2 linked regions of the Elephas maximus indicus genome follow. The protein of the gene in region 2 binds, or shares a complex with, the protein of the main gene of each other region. Links are inferred from orthologs where the notes say so. Each region holds a gene or a part of one and is shown on either strand. Other genes may lie near its edges.

Region 1 (8,635 bases), on a different chromosome or scaffold from region 2:
TTTTTGCCTATATGAATATCACACTCTCCCGGCTTTCTTTACATCTCTGTGGCTGTTTCTTCTCAATCACTTACTAAAACTCTTCTATAATCTCCTTTCCTCACTGAACTTGACTTGTACATCTAATCTGTGATTTGACATTTCCACTTACTAATCTAATTCCATTCTTCCTCAACTCCCACATTTAGTCAATCACCAAGTCCTATCATTTCTACTTCAAAAATGCATCTGGGACTCTCCTGCTCCATCCATCCCCACTGCCCTCACTCTGGTCCAAATCATGTCTCATCTATATAAAAGAGTCTCCTTACTGGTTTCCCTGTTCTCACTACTGCTCCCATCAGTTGATGACATAGGCAGAGGGATCTTTAAAAAATATAAAATCCTTCAATAGGTCCCCACTATACTTGGTATCACGGATTGAATTGTGTCCCCCCCAAAATGTGTGTCAACTTGGCTAGTCCATGGTTCCCAATATTGTGTGATTCCACCATTTGGCATCTGATGTGATTTTCCTGTGTGTTGTAAATCCAACCTCTATGATGTTAAAGAGGTGGGACTAGGGGCAATTATGTTAATGAGGCAGGACTCAATATACAAGATTAGGTTGTGTCTTAAATCAATCTCTTTTGTGACATAAAAGAGAGAAGTGAGCAGAGAGACATGGGGACCGCATACCACCAAGAAACAAGAGCCAGGAGAAGAGCGTGTCCTTTGGATCGGGGTCCCTGCACTGACAAGCTTCTAGTCCTGGGGACGACTGATGACAAGGACCTTCCTCCAGAGCTAACAGAGAGAAAAAGGCTTCCCCTGGAGCTGATGCCCTGAATTTGGACTGATGACAAGGACCTTCCTCCAGAGCTAACGGAGAGAAAAAGGCTTCCCCTGGAACTGGTGCCCTGAATTTGGACTTCTACCTTAAGACTGTGAAAGAACAAACTTGTTTGCCATCCACTTGTAGTACTTCTGTTATAGCAGCACTAGATAACTAAGAAAACAAACAAACAAAAAAACCAAACCCAGTGCCGTCGAGTCGAATCCGACTTATAGCGACCCTATAGGACAGGGTAGAACTGCCCCATAGTTTTCAAGGAGCGCCTGGCGGATTCAAACTGCTGACCCTTTGGTTAGCAGCCCTAGCACTTAACCACTATGCCATCAGGGTTTCTAAGACACTTGGGAAAAACCCAAATCCTTTACTACCTATCATCTTTAAAGTTCTTCATGACTTGGTTCATGCTCGCCTTCCTAACCTCACTTCAGGCTACCCTCTGCCTTCTCCCAATTTGCTGAAGTCACCAAGCTCTTGCCTATTTTAGGTCCTTTGTAAATTCTATTCTGCCTAGAATGCTCTTCCCTCAGCAGTGTTACATCCTTCAGGAATCACTTTAAGTGTAACTTTCTCTGATCATTCTATCTCAGGTACACTTCCCTGGTTATTATCTCAGCACTTGTCTCCTTCATAGTACTCATCGTAATTTGTAATTATACATATATTTGTTTTTAATCCTAATGACCTATAAGTTTGAACACACAAGAACCAGGTATGTTTTATTCAACACCGTATACCATGCACCTAGCAGAGTGCCAAGTAGACAGAATTTTAGATGAATGCAAAATTCATTGCACCTGTTGTATTATATCTCTCTTCGTTGCCCCAAGAAACTGAACTCTCTGTCGAAACAGGAGTGTGTCTTGGTTTTTATTTTTGAACTGTCAGAACCAACTATGTTATGAGCCTCACAAGTAACATGTAATTCATATTTATTAAACTGAGCTAAATTCAACCAAAAAGATGAGGTAAACAACTAGATTGGGGTGGAGGGAGTATAATGAAACAAGTGGGAGTTTCCAGGAGGATGGATGGGTACGCCATTCATGAAGACAGAGGATACAGCAGGAACAGCAAACAGCTTTGGAGGAACAATGATATAAAGTCCAATTTTAGACAAAGTGAGAAATATGCAGAATATAAAAGGAGATTCCAGTAGATATTTGATAATATGGGCCTAGAGGTGAAAGGGAAGCAAGTCCAAATATGTAGATGGTAATTATAAAACTTTTAAGGTCATAAACCCCATTTAAAAATATTACAGAAAAAAATCTCTACAAAAAAAAATGTGCACACACGCATTTTTTTCCGTAGACTTTGCAAAACCCATCCATGGTTTCACCAGGGTTATGAGTTTCTGATACAGATGTAAGCTGAAATAATGGAGATGGATAACATCAATGAATGAACACAGAAAACAAAAGCTTGGATGCCACTCTTCACATGTGTATTTGTGTACAGGTCTCATATCCTCCTACCTGTAACCTCTTAGAGCCTGTTTCATCACGTATAAAATGGGAATAACAATTATCTCCCTTAGAGGTTGTTATAAAGATTAAATGGGAGCTCTGGAAATTGTGTGGCACAGCATCTGGAACATAGGAAGTCTAGCTCTTGAAGAGGTTTTTCTTGACTAAGACGACATTCATTTATTCTATACCCGTTGCTGTTGAGTCAATTCCAACTCACAGCGACCTTAAAGGACAGAGTAGAACTGCCCCATAGGGTTTTGAAGGAGCAGCTGGTGGATTTGAACTGCCAACCTTGTGGTTAGCAACCAAGCTCTTAACCACTGTGCCACCAGGACTCTCATTTATTCTACAGTTGTCATCAGTGTCCCAGCCTTATCTCAACTAGACTGTAATGCAGGAACTTGACCTTCATTTCTGTATCCTTCCAGGGCTAAAACAGTACTTTGCACATCCTAAGTGCTCCATAAATATCTGCTGAATGAGGAAACTAAGGCACGAGTTCCAGTCATACAGTTTAATGTCCAGCTTCCTTTTGTTAATGAGTCATACCAGTTGTAATTACCAGTACAGTGTAATAACACCTACAGGGAAGGGAAAAGGGAGATAGTTGAAGCTGATGAACATTAAAAAAGCTCCTGTGTTTTCCAACTCCCAAAGATTATTTTTTAAGTACTGCAATGGCAAGTCAAAACACACTTCATGATGAGTTTGTTTTTCATATGAATTAATATAAAGTATTTTAGTGGTACTCATATGTCTCACATGGCAAAACAAGTAACTAAAATTAAAGGAAAAAGAGAAACAAATTATACGTCAACAAAGCCATGCTTTATAAATCAATATTAAGGCTTGTGCAATTCGGGAGCTACGATGCAGAAGAGCATAATTTAACTAGTGAATATTTCCAACATCTACCTGTAAATTAATTCTCAGCTGCAAGTACTCAATCCCACCCCCAATTTAAATATGTGGGCGTTCGCTTACTAGGGGAATTCCAGTTTGTTCTTTCAGCTGTTGAGCTTCCCCCAGTCCCTTTACAAGAGTTTCACATGTTCGCTCCACTGCTTGGGATCTGTTATGTGGTCAAGCTTTTGCTCTTGGCTGGGAGAGCAGCCTCAGTCTGACTCAGGGATGAACCTGAGCCATCGATGCTAACAACGCAGCTCCAAGAGTGCAAAGAGGGGATAACTGAGTGGGAATGGGTGAGGAGTGGGCCAGAAGCTGACCGCGAAGAAACGCTCCCCCGAACAAAGTTTGAGAAACTCAAGTCCCGTGTTTAGTGATTTTTAAAAGTAGATTAACAGCTCCCGAGGGATCACGTTCACCAAAGTCCCTCGGATGCAAGCCTCGGCGCGGTCCTCCAGTGATCAGACTTTCCGCTCCTCCAACCCGGAGGCTCCACCTCGTTCTCGGACTTGGGTTTCCGTTTCCCTCTCCCGAGGGGTCACAACCCGCCCCCGCCCACCCCCGGCAGCGGCTGGACAAGGTGGTGCTACTCACGTCCTTCTTCACTTCAGTCAGGTCCTCCTCGGTGAGGGACGGCGCGGTGGACTCCATAGCAAAGGCAGGAGATGGCGTTTCTTCCGGGTCTGGAGCTTGGGCCGCGCCACCCCGCCCAGCCTGGGGGATTTGGCCTCCGGGTCGGGGGGAAAGAAAGGGACGCAGAGCGGATGAGGAAGGGCTCCCCTCTTCGAAAACAAAGCGGCTCGGGGGTCGAACGTAGCGCTTTCCGGCTCCGCCTCTGAGGCCGACGGCGCTTCAGACTCCAACGCGTCGCAACGCCAAGGTGGGAGCCGAGTTCCTTTGCTCTCTGGGAGGCTTCAGCGCAGGCACCTCGGTGAGGCTGGTCCTTCGGTAGAGCCCGCCCCGTTACCGCTGCAGCCAATCAGTCGCAGGCTGCGGACCACTCCTGTTCCCGCCCCCTGGCTGGAGCCTTTCAATAGTAGCTCCGCCTTCAACAGGCGTCACCTCAGACCACGCCTCCGCAGGTCGTTTGCATGTGGCCGCGGGTTGGCCTTCCTATAAGGAATCGTTTCCGGGGGTGGAGCACATCGCTGCTCAGCCGACCGGCATGCCGCACCTTCACGAACTGCCAGTTTTGCAGGAGTCCGGTGCAGTGTCGGCTGTACTTTTGGGTACCTCCCCTTTTCCCAGACTCCGTCATAACAATTTCCGGTTGCTGGGTTTGCCCGCCTAAGTTTTTTAATTACCTGGCAACATACACACACACAGCGTAAATGCAATATTAAATATTTGAAAGAGAAAAACCACCATCTGCAGTCCCGCCACTTAAACACGCAATTTAACGTTGACATACTTTTTTAGTCGCTATTCATAAACATTTTTCTTCGTAGATTAATCTGTTGAACGGAGATATACCTGCCTCATAGGGCTGCTGTGAGAATTAAATGATATAGGAAAGGCTTCAAACTGGTTCTAACTGGTTCTGTCATGGCTAATGAAGCAAAATGGGAACAGACTTGAATTTTTAAATTTTGAGTGATTCGGAACCATAACCACAATGGGAAGAATTATGGGTCAAAGCCCTGGAATGGGACACTTGGTAGAGGTGTAGTGAGCCCTTTCAGGAGCATAATGTGTGAAATGGAGTTATTACTAGGACTGAAGAGAGCGACACACAGTTCAAGGCAGTGTGGTTGGCTGCCATCTTTGAGCGGGGCAGCACTATTATGACTGCGCAAAAATCTGAAGGGCAAGAGATGTGGTTGCTGTGCAACACATATGCTGCCCCTGTTTTCTTAAGAGGGAGATTAAGTTTCTAGCAGGGCTTAAATTTGTAATTTTTCCCATTTTGGTTTACCCAATTTTTAAGAATTTGGTCTGTTCCCATGTGCCGCCTTCTGCCATGATTGAGCAGTGAAGAACCGGTTCAAAGCCCTGGGTATAAGTAAGGCTCTTAGATGTACCTTGCACACATAAGCACTCAATTTATTAGTATTATCTTCTATTACTCAAACATTTATTGAGTCCTTACTAATATATTCCAGGCATCTCCTTCTGTAAGAGTTCTCCCATTTTATTGGGGGATACTGATTTCCCCCCTCAGTCTCTGTCCTATTCTGCTCTAATAGTCCAGGACAACTATTCCCAGAATGGTGTTCTAATAACAGAGGTTTATACAAAGCAACAGAGTCCTTAGGTAGTGCAGTAAATGTGCTTGGGTGGGTGGTTCAAATTCACCAGCCACTCCATAGGAGAAAGATGTGGCAGTCTGCTTCTGTAAAGATTACAGCCTAGGAAATCGTATGGGGCAGTTCTATAGGGTTGGTATGAGTCAGAATCAACTCCATGGCAATGGGTTTGGTTTTGGTTTGGAATCTTTACAGAAGCAGACTGCCACATCTTTTTCCCATGGAGCAGCTGGTGGGATTGAGCAGCCAACCTTTTGGTTAGAAGCCCAGCACTTAACCACTGTGCTACCACTGCTCCTTTAGAATATTAGATGACGAGTGCTAAGAGAAAAAATAAAGCAGAGAATCAGGAAAAGGCTGTATGGAGTGGGAGGGTAAAATTTAAAATAGGGTGGTCAATGAAGACCTCACTGAGACCGTGAGATTTGATTTACGACATGAAAGAGTAAGCCATTTGGGCATCTGGAGAAAACCTTATGAGTAGAGTGAACAGCCAAGGAAGAGGCTCCATTGTGGCTGGGATGGAGTGAGTTAGGGGTGCAGAGAAGGAGGTGAGGTCCCTATATGGCTTTGTGAGAATTTACTCTGACTTTGCTCTGAGTCATATGCGTTTACTCTGAGTCAGACGAGAAGCCACTGGAGGGCTCTGAGCAGAGGATTTGAAAAGGAACACTTTCACTGTTGTGCTAATCAAGTGGAAGGTGGAAGAAGGGAGGCCAGTTAAGGCCTATTGCCATAACCCAGGTCCCATAAGGTGGTGGCTCAGACCAGTGTGGTAGCAGTGTGAATGGCGAGAACATTCTGAAAAGAAGGTGGGAAGTGACTTGATTTCATTCTGAAAGGATCAGTCTGCCTGCTGAGTAGACTGTAGGATCAAGGACAGAAGCAGAGAGACAAGCTAAATGCTCCTGCAGTGATCCAGGCAAACATGAGGGTGTCGTGATCAGAGTGGGAGCAATGGTATACACTTCCCCATTGTTACCTTAATGCTGGTCCCAAATTATCATTGCTATAAAAAATTTGTCCAGGCAGACGGGAAGGTGGGAGAGGAGAAGCGGGAGAATCCGCAACGAGCTGGAGCCGTCAGAGTAATGGAGGGGAAATTTCGGGTCACAGCGCTGAGAAACAATCAGCTGAAGAAGAAGCTGGAGATTTCCCAAACAAAGCCTACAAAGATCTCCAAGTTTGGATTTGCCATAGGTAGTCAGATGACAAAGAAAGCATCAGCCATATCCATCAAACTTGGATCAAGTAAGCCTTAAGAAACAGTTCCAACTCTTGCTCCAAAAACCTTTCAATAGCAGCAGCTTTTAATGAAGACGAAGGTAGTGAACCAGAGGAAATGCCTCCAGAAGCAAAGTTGAGGATGAAGAAAATTGGAATGGATACACCAACATCAGCAGGACCAAACTCCTTCAACAAAGGAAAGCATGGGTTTTCGGATAACCAGAAGCTATGGGAGTGAAATATAAAATCTCTTCTTGGAAATGTCCATGACCAATACAATAAAATGATGTGTTTTGTGATTGGGGTGTGGGGTGGGTGTAAAGTTAAAATGAACAGTTTCCTTTTTTAAAGAATGGTATAAAACTATCTTTGGAGCCACTTTTTTTTTTTTTTTAAGATTGATATATTAAATGAGAGTTTGAAATTAGAGGTAATTTATGTTTTATATACAGATTTCAAGACATTTGCTAATTTTGTAGTTTCATATGATTAGTTTCCAAATGTTACAGATAATAAATCAGAAATGATACCTTTTTAAGATTTGCATATTTTTTTTAAACACAACTATCAGTACATTGAGAGGGAAGCAAAAGTTCCTGTCTATTTAAACTGGTTCAAAATGCCAGCAACTACCCTCTAGCTTAACTCCCCCATTATATGACCTGTATGGCTCCTGGGAACAGCCTTATAGAAAGGGAGTATCATATTGGGAAGAAAAATGTTACTGGACTATTGACTGAAAATAAATTTAGATAAAATTAAATACAGCTGTTTTTCTCATGGGCATTTGTTTTGTTTCAAGTCATAAAGCAGTTTTTGCCTTGCTATCAGTAGATACAAATGCTTAGCTCTTTAAAAGTAGCCTTTTTTTGAAATTTTATGTAAAATGTTGAATTTTTGTAATGGCTCACTTCACCTTAATGGGTCTTGTCTACCTTCACTTGTCTTCAAAGAACAACCATTTCCTACCAAAGTAAATCAGTATTTTGAATGTGCTTCTAATTTTTCTCTTGGTTTTTGTTACGTGCTAGTTCCTGAAATTGTTTCCGCCAGACCTCGAGGCAGCTGTTTCTTTTAAAGTACAAACCACCACCAAAAAATTTAAATGTGCATATTGCTTAAATATTTGGCTGTTTTTATATCTTAAAAGGTATGAACACCCAAAAAAGAAAATACCGTATGAAGGTGAGAAGTGAGAAGATGCACTGTCTATACTTTGTTGAAGCATTTAAGTTACTAATTTGCTAAATACAATTTGAATCGCCCTTACTATAGGAGTTCTTACTAATAGAATACTATGGTTTATTTTAAGCGTGTGTGTATTGACCGGTGGCCTCTCAAAAGCGCATTTTAGATACTAAAAATTTGTAGGAAAGAAAATGCATCTTCAAATAATTTATGGAATCTCTGACCATATATACTTGGTTCCGTGTGTTGTGGGGTTTAGGGTGGTATTTTCTTTTTTTTTGTATTGTATATGAACTTTTTTTTCCTTAATGTGACAGTTAAACACATCTTTAAAAGCATAGTCACAAACAAAAGAAACAAAATGTAACGATTTACTCGAAAAGTTCCTACTATGTTAAATTTGGAGGACATGTCAGACTATTTTATTGGTAGTGTCTTAGGCTGGGTTCTCTAGAGAAGCAAAACCGGTAAACATATAAATATATAGAGAGAGAGATTTATATCAAAGAAACGGTTCATGTGGTTGTAGAGACTGGAACATTCCAAGTCTGTGGATCAGGATAGAGGCTTGTCCTCATTCATTTAGCTGCAGGGGCTGGTGAACCCAAGGTCGGCAGGTTGGAGAGCAGGGCTCTTGCTCACAGTCTGTGAAGACTGCTGAATCTCAGGAGATAACCTGCTAGCTCAAGTCCCAAAAACTGGAGCTCAGATGAACTGGAGCCAGCTGCAGGACCCAGAGCAGGCAAAAACCAGAACGTATGCTT
Region 2 (9,566 bases):
CCAGTGCAATACATTGTTGAGCTCCTGACTGCTGCTTTCACGGGCAATGATTGTGAATCCAAGTAAAATGAAATCCTTGACAACTTCAATATTTTCTTCGTTTATCATGATGTTGCTTATTGGTCCAGTTGTGAAGATTTGTTTTCTTTATGTTGAGACATAATTCATATTGAAGGCTATCGTCTTTGATCTTCATGAGTAAGTGCTTCAAGTCCTCTTCACTTTCAGCAAACAAGGATATTGTCATCTGCATATCAGAGGTTGTTAATGAGTCTTCCTCCAATCCTAATACCTCATTCTTCTTTGTATAGTTCAGCTTGTTGGATGTTAACCCTTCTCATTTCTCCCACTTGTAACATCTGTCCTATCCTTTAAGATCCAGCTCTAAACTCACGTCCATAGGAAGCCTTTTCGGAAGAGGTCTACTTATTCTGAATGCTGTTATTTATATCCCATTTTATTTAATGGTGTATCACAGAGAACCTGCTAATGATATATATTTTTACAATTCTTCTCTTAGGAATCATTTATCATCTCCACCTTTCAGGTTTACTCATTCAACAACAGGGCTAAATCTTCTAAAACCTTTTGCCCTGTCTTCTGTACTTCGCACAATACTCCATGCACTAGAAAGGCTTGTTTCATTTCTTGCTGAGTACAACTTATGAATGATACATTGAATGTTTGAACAAGACTCTTTAAAGCATAGTGATTCATGCAACCTGGCACTATTATGGAGTAGTAAAACGTAATCCCAAACATCTCCTGAATGTGTTCTTCCTCTCTAAGCCTTATATCATGGCTCTTAGCTAATGTCTTCATTTCTAACCTGTACTACTGCAACACTTCCTGAACCTCCAGTTTTGCCCCTCCCTACGTTGCTGCCCAAGTCAGTTTTTGAAAATCTGTTTAAAATATCTCAGTTACTTCCCATCACCTACACCAGGGTTTCTTACACTTCAAACACTTAACCAGTTTAGGGATTTTGACATATCCACATACCTACCTGTACATTGGATATGTGATATAGTTTTTTAAACAAAATCACATTTTTTACTTAAATAAAAAATGTAGCATTGTCCCAATCAATCCTGTTAGCAAAATGACAACTTTGATTGGCAGATATTTTTCTAAAATATATTAATACATAACTACTTAAATTAAAATATGGGCCACTTAAAATCATCTTGTATAACATCAGTGGGGCACATACTACCCTGCAAAAGGCACAGAACTACAGCACAAAAGCTCACTCCTTGGACATCACACAATCTAGTCTTCACTTCCTTTTCAGTCTTGGTCTCTGTCCCTCTCTTACATGTTTCCCCAACTCTGCTGAACCAACTGCAGTTCTCCAGCCTTGCTGTGATATTTTATGGCTTTACATATGACTTTATCTTTACACATGGTATTCCTTCTACCCTGTTTTCTAAACCATCTCCTCATTTTTCCCTGCCATTCCTCCCCTCCCCACATGGAAGGACAGGCTCTCCTCTGTATTTCACATCCCTCCTTTCTTGCCTCCAACAGAGTACTCGCCACTCCCTTTCCTTTCCAAGAGATTGAATTTAGTCAACACTGTACCCTCAGCAGAGCCCTGGTGGCACAGTGGTTAAGGGCTCAGCTGCTAACCAAAAGGTCAGCAGTTTGAATCCATCGGCCACTCCTCGGAAACTCTATAGGGCAATGCTACTCTGTCCTATAGGGCCACTATGAGTCGGAACCAACTGACGGGAACAGGTTTGGTACCCTCAGCACTGTAAGAAAAAATTAAGGAAGCCTGAAATGCAGTGGGTATTCTAACTGGCTCATACAACTGGGTTATCTTCACCTTTCATTGTCTTTGACTAGGCTATGTACAACTGTGAAGAGACAGAAGTTAACTGGTAGGAAACTGACAGTAATGTAAATAAGTCTTGTTTATAAATAAATAACTTGTGTTTAGTAAAAGTCTGATTGACTTCCCTCCTCCACTGTGGGAGAAGCCAGTTTTGCATCTTTTAAAAAAAAAAGACCCATTGCAGTCGAGTCCATTCCAACTCATAGCAACCATACAGGACAGCGTAGAACTGCCCCATAGTGTTTCCAAGGAGCATGTGGTAGATTCAAACTGCTGACCTTTTGGTTAGCAGCTGTAGCTCTTAACCACTACACCACTAGGGTTTCCCTGCATCTATTAAGCAGATTCATTTCAGCATCCTTGATGGGCTTATATATTTATCTGGTCTTTGGATTCTCCTTTGAACTGGTTGTAACACTTGTCTGACACCTTCTTTAATTAAAGGGCTAAATAAAATCTTTGACGCGTGTCCATTATATATTCATTGATAATTACAATTTTACCTTTTAAAATACTTATCCTTTAAGAGTATTTGGCACAGAGCCTGGCACAAGGTAGGCACCCAATAAATATTGTTAAATGAATGAATGAATTTAAACAAGTAAATGTAGTCTTTGTAATGTAATCGAGTACTTAGGCCTGTATCATCATGAAGGAAGGGTGTGGAATACTCATGTTACACTCGGTTGTTCCAAGGTTGAAATCAAAATCCCCCTAATCCTTTGGGACATAGCAGTGAGGTGGGTTGCAGTGGATGTGGAGAGCCTTGTATCTGGCTGAGTCAGAGAGGTCACATTGGGCATGGGATAAGAGACGGGAGACAATGATGCCATTTAGGTCACATAACTCCTTTCAATCCATTGTGCACAAATCTAAGGACCTGCAGCATTTCTCCTGCGCTGAGTCTTTTAAATCCTGACCAGATAATGAAATAATACGATGTTTTGGCATTTTCCATTTGCGTACCGTCCATAGTCGAATTGCGTAAAAAACAAAAATAATCTATGAGTCAGTTTCCAGATCTGTAAGAGTTTGGAAGATTACATCAATGGATTTTCAAAGAATGGAACAATGCATGAAGTTCCTACAAATTGTCTGGATTCTCAAAGTCTAACGTCACTTTCCATGAATGAGGAAAAATTCCTGAGAATATTATCCATAGACATGCATAAACTTTTAAGTAGCACTTAAAAGCCACATCTCCACCCTCGATTCTCCTCCTACCTTTATATAATGGTCGAGATTGAAAAGGAAGCTGAATTACTGCTTATTATGTTGTTCCAAGAGAGATTTGTTCCCAGAATTCATGTGGCAATTTTGAGAGTACTTGCAAAGAGTTAACGTGCTTGGCTGCTGAGCAAAAGGTTAGAGGATCAAGTCCACCCAGAGGTGCCTCAGAAGAAAGGCCTGGCGATGTTTCTGAAAGGCCACAGCCTTGACAACCCTCTGCAGCACAGTCATACTCTGACACACATGGAGTCGCATGGATGGGCAGCTAAGAGCAGCAAGAGAAAGGGTGAAGTAGCAAGGAAGTACCTTATCAAATTAGGAAGGATATTTTCAGAGTAAGTAATACACTAAAACCTGTGAAAGCCAGAACCTGTGTAAGGCAGAAACCTGCCAGAGAAGGAAAACTCAAATATTTTCCACTAAAAGGAGCGATAGAAAAGTGGTATGACTACACTCTGTCAAAGGTGTGATGTTTTTGAGACCTGAAAAAACAAGCCAGTCCCACTGAGTTCCAGGTCTTACAGGTTTCCCCTTACACGTACCCATTTCAACCCATACGCACATGAGAAGCTGCATCAGCAACATCTCACAAGGGTTGCCATTCTTGTTGGTAGGCACCGTTGAGTTAGCTCCGGCTCATGGAGACCTTATGTACAACGCAACACTGCCGGGTCCTGCACCGTCCTCATGATCGTGGTTATGCTTGAACCCATTGTTGCAGCTGCTATGTCAATCCGTCTCATTGAGGGTCTTCATCTTTTTCGGTGACCCTCTACTTTACTGAGCATGTCCTTCTCCAGGGACTGGTCCCTCCTGATCACATATCTCGCATATAAACCAAAACCAAACCTGCTGCTGACATGTTGATTCCAACTCATAGCGACCCTACAGGACAGAGTAGAACTGCCCCATAGGGTTTCTAAGGAGTAGCTGGTGGATTCAAACTGCCGACCTTTTTGTTAGAGGCAGAACGCTTAACCACTGGTGCCCCCAGGGCTCCATCTTGCACATAGTAGACTTAAAAAAAAAAAAAAGTTTGTTGAATCTAAATATTAAAAGGTAGCATTCCAATAATGACTAGAAGATTTGACTTCCGTAAGTGGCACGTGCAGGCTACCAGAAAATATTTGTTGAATGACTGAGGGCAAAACAGGAGGGTACTAGAAGTTATTGGGAAAGGTTTGCCAAATCAAGCTGAGTATGAAACAAGCCTTTGTATTTGTAATGTAAATATAATTGCTAAAAAAAAATTGAGTACCTACTACGTGCCAAGAAACCCTGGTGATGTAGTGGTTAAGAGCTATGGCTGCTAACCAAAAGATTGGCAGTTCAAATGCACCAGGTGCTCCTTGGAAACCCTATGGGGCAGTTTTACTCTGTCCTATAGGGTCACTAGGAAACCTTGGTGGTGTAGTGGTTAAGTGCTACGGCTGCTAACCAATAGGTCGGCAGTTCAAATCTGCCAGGCGCTCCGTGGAAACTCTACAGGGCAGTTCTACTCTGTCCTGTAGCGTCGCTATGAGTTGGAACTGACTCCATGGCACTGGGTTTGGTTTTGATATAGGGTCACTATGAGTTGGAATTGACTTGATGGCAACAGGCATTTTTTTTTTTTTTTTTGGTTTTACTATGTGCCAGGCACTTAGTAAATGAGGCAGGTACTTAAGCAACTTACTGAAGGTCATAAAACTAGAACCCAGCACATCTTTTTGGATCCAAAGGTCAGGCTCATTGCCATTATACTGTATTCTGAACTTGTCAAGAGACTGCATGTTGTCCGACAATGCAGTGGAGGCCATATGGAACAAATACCTGGCCAACAGGAAGTGAAAATTTGGGTCCAAGTTTTTGCTACAGAGAAACCCTGATTCCTAGGGTGATTAAAAAGTTAGTGGCACCAGAAGCTGAGCCAGGAAGCTTTGTGTTTGGGAGGTGCCTGGCTGGTCACACTTCTTAAGTCATTTGCATGCTTTTGTCCCAAACTTCCCTGGTTTTCAGTAGGATAATGAATATTGTTAAGACTAGAAGAGAGTTCAAATGTAGTCCCTGTTTATTACTCCATGTATTCTATTCTGGGTCACTCCAGGAAGAGGAACCATATACGTTCGTTGCCTGCTTTGATTCTGAAGGCTGCAGGTGGTAATCTGACGTCGGGAAAACCAAACGATCTTGTGCTGATAACAATCGTTTTCAGGATCTGATCAGGTTCGAATCCATCACTACCCTGTTTTACGAAAAAAAAAAAAAAAAGTCCATGCACTGATTTCGGCCAACTCTAATGTAAACGTTTGGATTTCTACCACTACTTCCCCTTAGCAATGCGATACCACATCCAGTTCTACGAGGAAGCCTACACTGAGGTTGCCCGATGCGAGCGCTGGGGGAGTCGCTGGGCACACGCAAGTCACGGGGTCAACTGCGAGCGACCCTGGAGCAGCTGCGGGGCCGGCGATGGGGAACCGCGTGCTCCCCTCTTCGGTGAATGACTTCTCGGCGTGAAGCAATCTTCCTCCCACCGTCTCGGGAAGCCCCGACACCGCAGGCTTCCTCGCCACAGTGGAGCCGCCGAGGCGTAGATCCTCCACCGCCTCCTCCTCCAGCTGCAATTACCCGACCCTTCCTGTATAACGAGGACGCCACCTCCCAGATTTGAAGCGCGCGCCACCATGAAGCCCGAGACTACGCGGGAGGCGGTGGAAGGTGTCGGCCGCACGCACGCGCAGAGGTGGTCCGGCCCCGCCCCCAAGGCCCGGCCCAGGCCCCGCCCCTAGGCTCGCCCAGCGGGGTCGGACCGCGGGATACCCTCCGAACCGGTCTCAATGGGGCGGAGAACGGAGCTTCCCGGTCCGAGGGCTCCGGCCCCGCCCAGGCCCCGCCTCCCTGGGCCCCGCCCCCTAGCCCCGCCCCCCCTAGGTCCCGCCCCTCGGCGCGCTCAGCGCGGCCGGCCGGCCGGGCGCCCAGACAAACCTGTCTTAGCAGGGAGGGGAGCTGAGCTTCCTCCTACCAGCACGGTGTTGCCGCCCCATTTGTCCTTCCGCCCGTGCCTCCGCGACTGCGGGGCGAGCGACGGGGAAAGCAGAAGGTGCGCTGAAGCCGAGGCCCGCGGCCCGGCCGGCGCAGAGTCGCCGGCGCGGGACATGTCGCTCTGGGGGGAGCCGCTGCAGGCCCCGCCACCCTCGGCCTCACACCCGCCCCCGACCGCGCCCGCAGGGCCGCCGCCACCCCCTCCGGCCAGCGCGACCCTCAACCGCCTACGGGAGCCGCTGCTGCGGAGACTCAGCGAGACCTTGGACCGGGCGCCGGAAGGCCGGGGCTGGAGGAGGCTGGCTGAGGTGGCGGGGAGTCGGGGGCGCCTCCGGCTCAGGTGAGGCGGCGTGGGCCGGGGGCGCTGTGGGGGAGGGGAGGTAACAGGGCGGGGTCGGCGTCACGTGGGCGCGGAGGGGTCCTGGGGCGATCGACTTGAGACTGCAAAGTGGAAGCAGTGACACTGCTGTGCCCGCGGCTGGAAACCCGTCGGGGACCAACCAAGTTGGGGGACCGCTGGTGGGGAAGGATGTGGGGAGGGCTTAAGTCATCGTTTAGAGAGAGCCTCCTGGACCTAGGAAGGTCCTGGGAATGCGAGAGTTTGGAGGCTGTGGAATGGAGATGTTTCCCACCCTTTTCCTGCCCTCCCTTGATCTGAAAGAGGGACGTGGAGGGCCAATAAGAGGATACAGAGAAGGAAAGCTAGTTATGATATGGCAGTTGGCAATTCCAGACGACTTAAGATACAAAAGAAAGGGATATTGACGCGCACCTAGAAGACCTAAGGAAGGTTGGGAGGGAGACGGAGACGTGCAGCTAGAGAGGTAATGAAAGCAGAGGATTTGAGGCACAAGAATCCATGGGTTTTATGTAGGTAGAGAAGAATGGTGGGAAAGACTGAAACGGAGTTCTCTTCTTGTCTTCTCCGTGAACATTATAAGTAAAGCTGTTTTCCTTGTTACCCGGTTTGGAACCACTGTACTAGGGATTCTTGAACTTTTTGGCGTCGGGACGCCTTTACTCTTTTAAGGATTATTGAGATTTGCCAAAGGGTTTTTGTTTATGTGGGTTATGTATTACATATAATGTATATTGACGTTTACCATATTAAAAATTAAAACTAAGACTTTTAAAAATATTTGTTTAACAATCATACTAACCCTACATCTTAACAGAAATAACGTTTTTTGTGACAACACAGACTTTTGTAAAACGAACCAAAAAAATTAGAGGAGTGGATTTATTTTACATTTTGAAATGCTCACTAATGTCTTGGCTTAATCGCAGACAGCTGGATTCTTTCTGTCCGCTTTTGCATTGAGTTTGTTGCAGTGTCACAGGTCTCTCCTGAAAGAATGAATGAAAAAGGTAAATAATGTCTTAGTATTACTATGAAAAGTCATTTTGGCCTTGCAGACCCCCTGGAAGGGTCTCAAGAACCCCAATAAGCATTCTCAGACCATGCTTTGAGAACTACTACAATATACATTATTCTGATTTTGGTCTATCTTTTAACTCCTTACCAGTTTTTTTAAATTCTCATATGACTAAATGTTATCTTGTACTATAATTTGTACATATCTTTGTAAACTCCTTGAGAGCAGGCACCATCTTTTAATATTCTTTTAGTTATTCATAGAACCTTTTTTTTTTATTGTACTTTAGATGAAGGTTTACAGAGCAAATTACTTTCTCATTAAGCAATTAATACACATATTGTTTTGTGACATCGGTTGCCAACCCCACGACACGTTAACACTCTCCCCTTCTCAGCGTTGGGTTCTCCATTACCAGTTTTCCTGTCCCCTTCTGCCTTCTCCTCCTTCCCCCTGGGCTGATATGCCCATTTAGTCTCATTTGTTTTTTGGGCCTGTCTCATCTTTGGCTGAAAGGTGAACCTCAGGAGTGACTTCAGTACAGAGTTAAAAGGGAGTCTGGAGGGCCATACTCTTGGGGTTTCTCCAGTCTCTGTCAGACCAGTAAGTCTGGTCTTGTCTTTTTTTTTTTTTTTTTTTAATGAGTTAGAATTTTGTTCTACATTTTTCTCCAGCTCTGTCCCGGACCCTCTATTGTGATGTCTGTCCAAGCCGTCAATGGTGGTAGCTGAGCACCATCTAGTTGTGCTGGACACAGTCTAGTGGAGGCTGTAGTATTTGTGGTCCATTAGTCCTTTGGACTAATCTTTCCCTTGTGTCTTTAGTTTTCTTCATTCTCTCTTGCTCCAGATGGGGTGAGACTAGTGGAGTATTACAAGCTTTTAAGACCCAGATGCTACTCACCAAAGTAGGATATAGAACATTTTCTTTCGAAACTGTGTTATGCCAGTTGAACTAAGTGTTCCCTGAGACCATGGCCCCCAGCCCTCAGCCCAGTAATTTGGTCCCTCGGGGAGTTTGGATATGTTTATGGAGCTTCCATGACCTGCATAGAACCTGTCTTAATAGTCAATAAATATTTGTTGAATTGAGAGGGGGAATCATTCATTCAAAGTTACACTTACTTGCCTATTATTTGCCAGAAGTTTGAGAAGATAAAAAAATGACATCTATTTAGCTCCTAGTCACAAGGGCTTAACTGATAATGGACATTATTCTAGGACATTCACAAATAACATGTTAAATGTTATGTAGTAAAGATGTGTAATAATAACAGCAGTAATTTTTTTTTGTCATTTATTGAGCACTTAGCTTATACCAGACAATGTACTGTTTCCATGCATCATTTACGTTAATCCTCACAACAACACAGTTTTCCGAGAAAATGAGGTTAAGGCAAAGAGAAATGATGATTTAGGATTATTTGCATGTAAAGATGAGAGAAACAAGAAGTGGTAAACTTGCAAAATTTGAGCAGGCAGCATTTTTTCTGCTCTAGGGAAAACATCATTGAGCTTTTCAGCGAGCAAAGAAAATCCAAAATGGTATTTTTCTAGGTTCGTAAATTTCCAAATGTGTAAACTTTGGGGGTCTGAAGTTTGGAGAGTTTGGGATCATTTAGTTCATACACCTTTTGGGGTCAGAGAAGATCCACGTAGTCTGAGGCCTAGAGTGAGCAGAAAGAATTAAACTTAGATAAAAAGTTAGCATTGGGAGAAGGGCAGCTATGATAGCAGAGGATGCTAATGGTACTTTTCTCTAGTATCAGACGTAGGGATTGTCCTGTGTAAATCCAGCCCAAATGGATAAAAAGTCCCATGAGGATATAAATTGTTTCCATCAGTGGTCCTAGATTCACAGGCCAAAAATCTCCAAAGGTTTCTTTTTTCTTCTCTCTCTTCCACTTTTTTCCAGACTCTTTACATCTTTCCTCAAACCAGAAAAGAATTTAATTTTAAAAAGAAGGAAAAAACCATCAGAAAATAGAGTCCTTTTAGAACCACTCATCAGGCATTAGGAATAATTTTAAATATTTTCAGATGGTTATTGATGTGTACCATCTGCCCTTAATACGTGCCCAGACCTAATTCTGTACC

The links.
Region 1: the proteins of MALT1 (region 2) and BCL10 are in contact, whole or in part, in a cryo-EM structure (PDB 6GK2), measured with the Homo sapiens proteins. The link is inferred for Elephas maximus indicus from reciprocal best matches to the Homo sapiens genes MALT1 and BCL10. Residues at the interface, in NP_006776.1 of Homo sapiens: Asp46, Gln47, Ala48, Pro49, Trp54, Arg55, Leu74, Glu75, Ser78, Leu79, Val81, Leu82, Glu83, Pro84, Glu85, Gly86, Pro88; in NP_003912.1 of Homo sapiens: Leu13, Lys17, Val83, Arg87, Asn93, Gln97, Thr100, Leu104, Arg107, Asn108, Leu111.

The regions. Positions count from the first base shown.
Region 1 is NC_064821.1:134,720,223-134,728,857, forward strand, and holds the start of BCL10 (B-cell lymphoma/leukemia 10), read right to left. Parts: upstream 4,185-8,635; 5' UTR 3,862-4,184; coding exon 3,805-3,861; intron 1-3,804. UniProt on the Homo sapiens protein: Plays a key role in both adaptive and innate immune signaling by bridging CARD domain-containing proteins to immune activation.
Region 2 is NC_064829.1:67,258,510-67,268,075, forward strand, and holds the start of MALT1 (mucosa-associated lymphoid tissue lymphoma translocation protein 1), read left to right. Parts: upstream 1-6,020; 5' UTR 6,021-6,207; coding exon 6,208-6,434; intron 6,435-7,359; exon of another isoform or gene 7,360-7,462; intron 7,463-9,566. UniProt on the Homo sapiens protein: Protease that enhances BCL10-induced activation: acts via formation of CBM complexes that channel adaptive and innate immune signaling downstream of CARD domain-containing proteins (CARD9, CARD11 and CARD14) to activate NF-kappa-B and MAP kinase p38 pathways which stimulate expression of genes encoding pro-inflammatory cytokines and chemokines.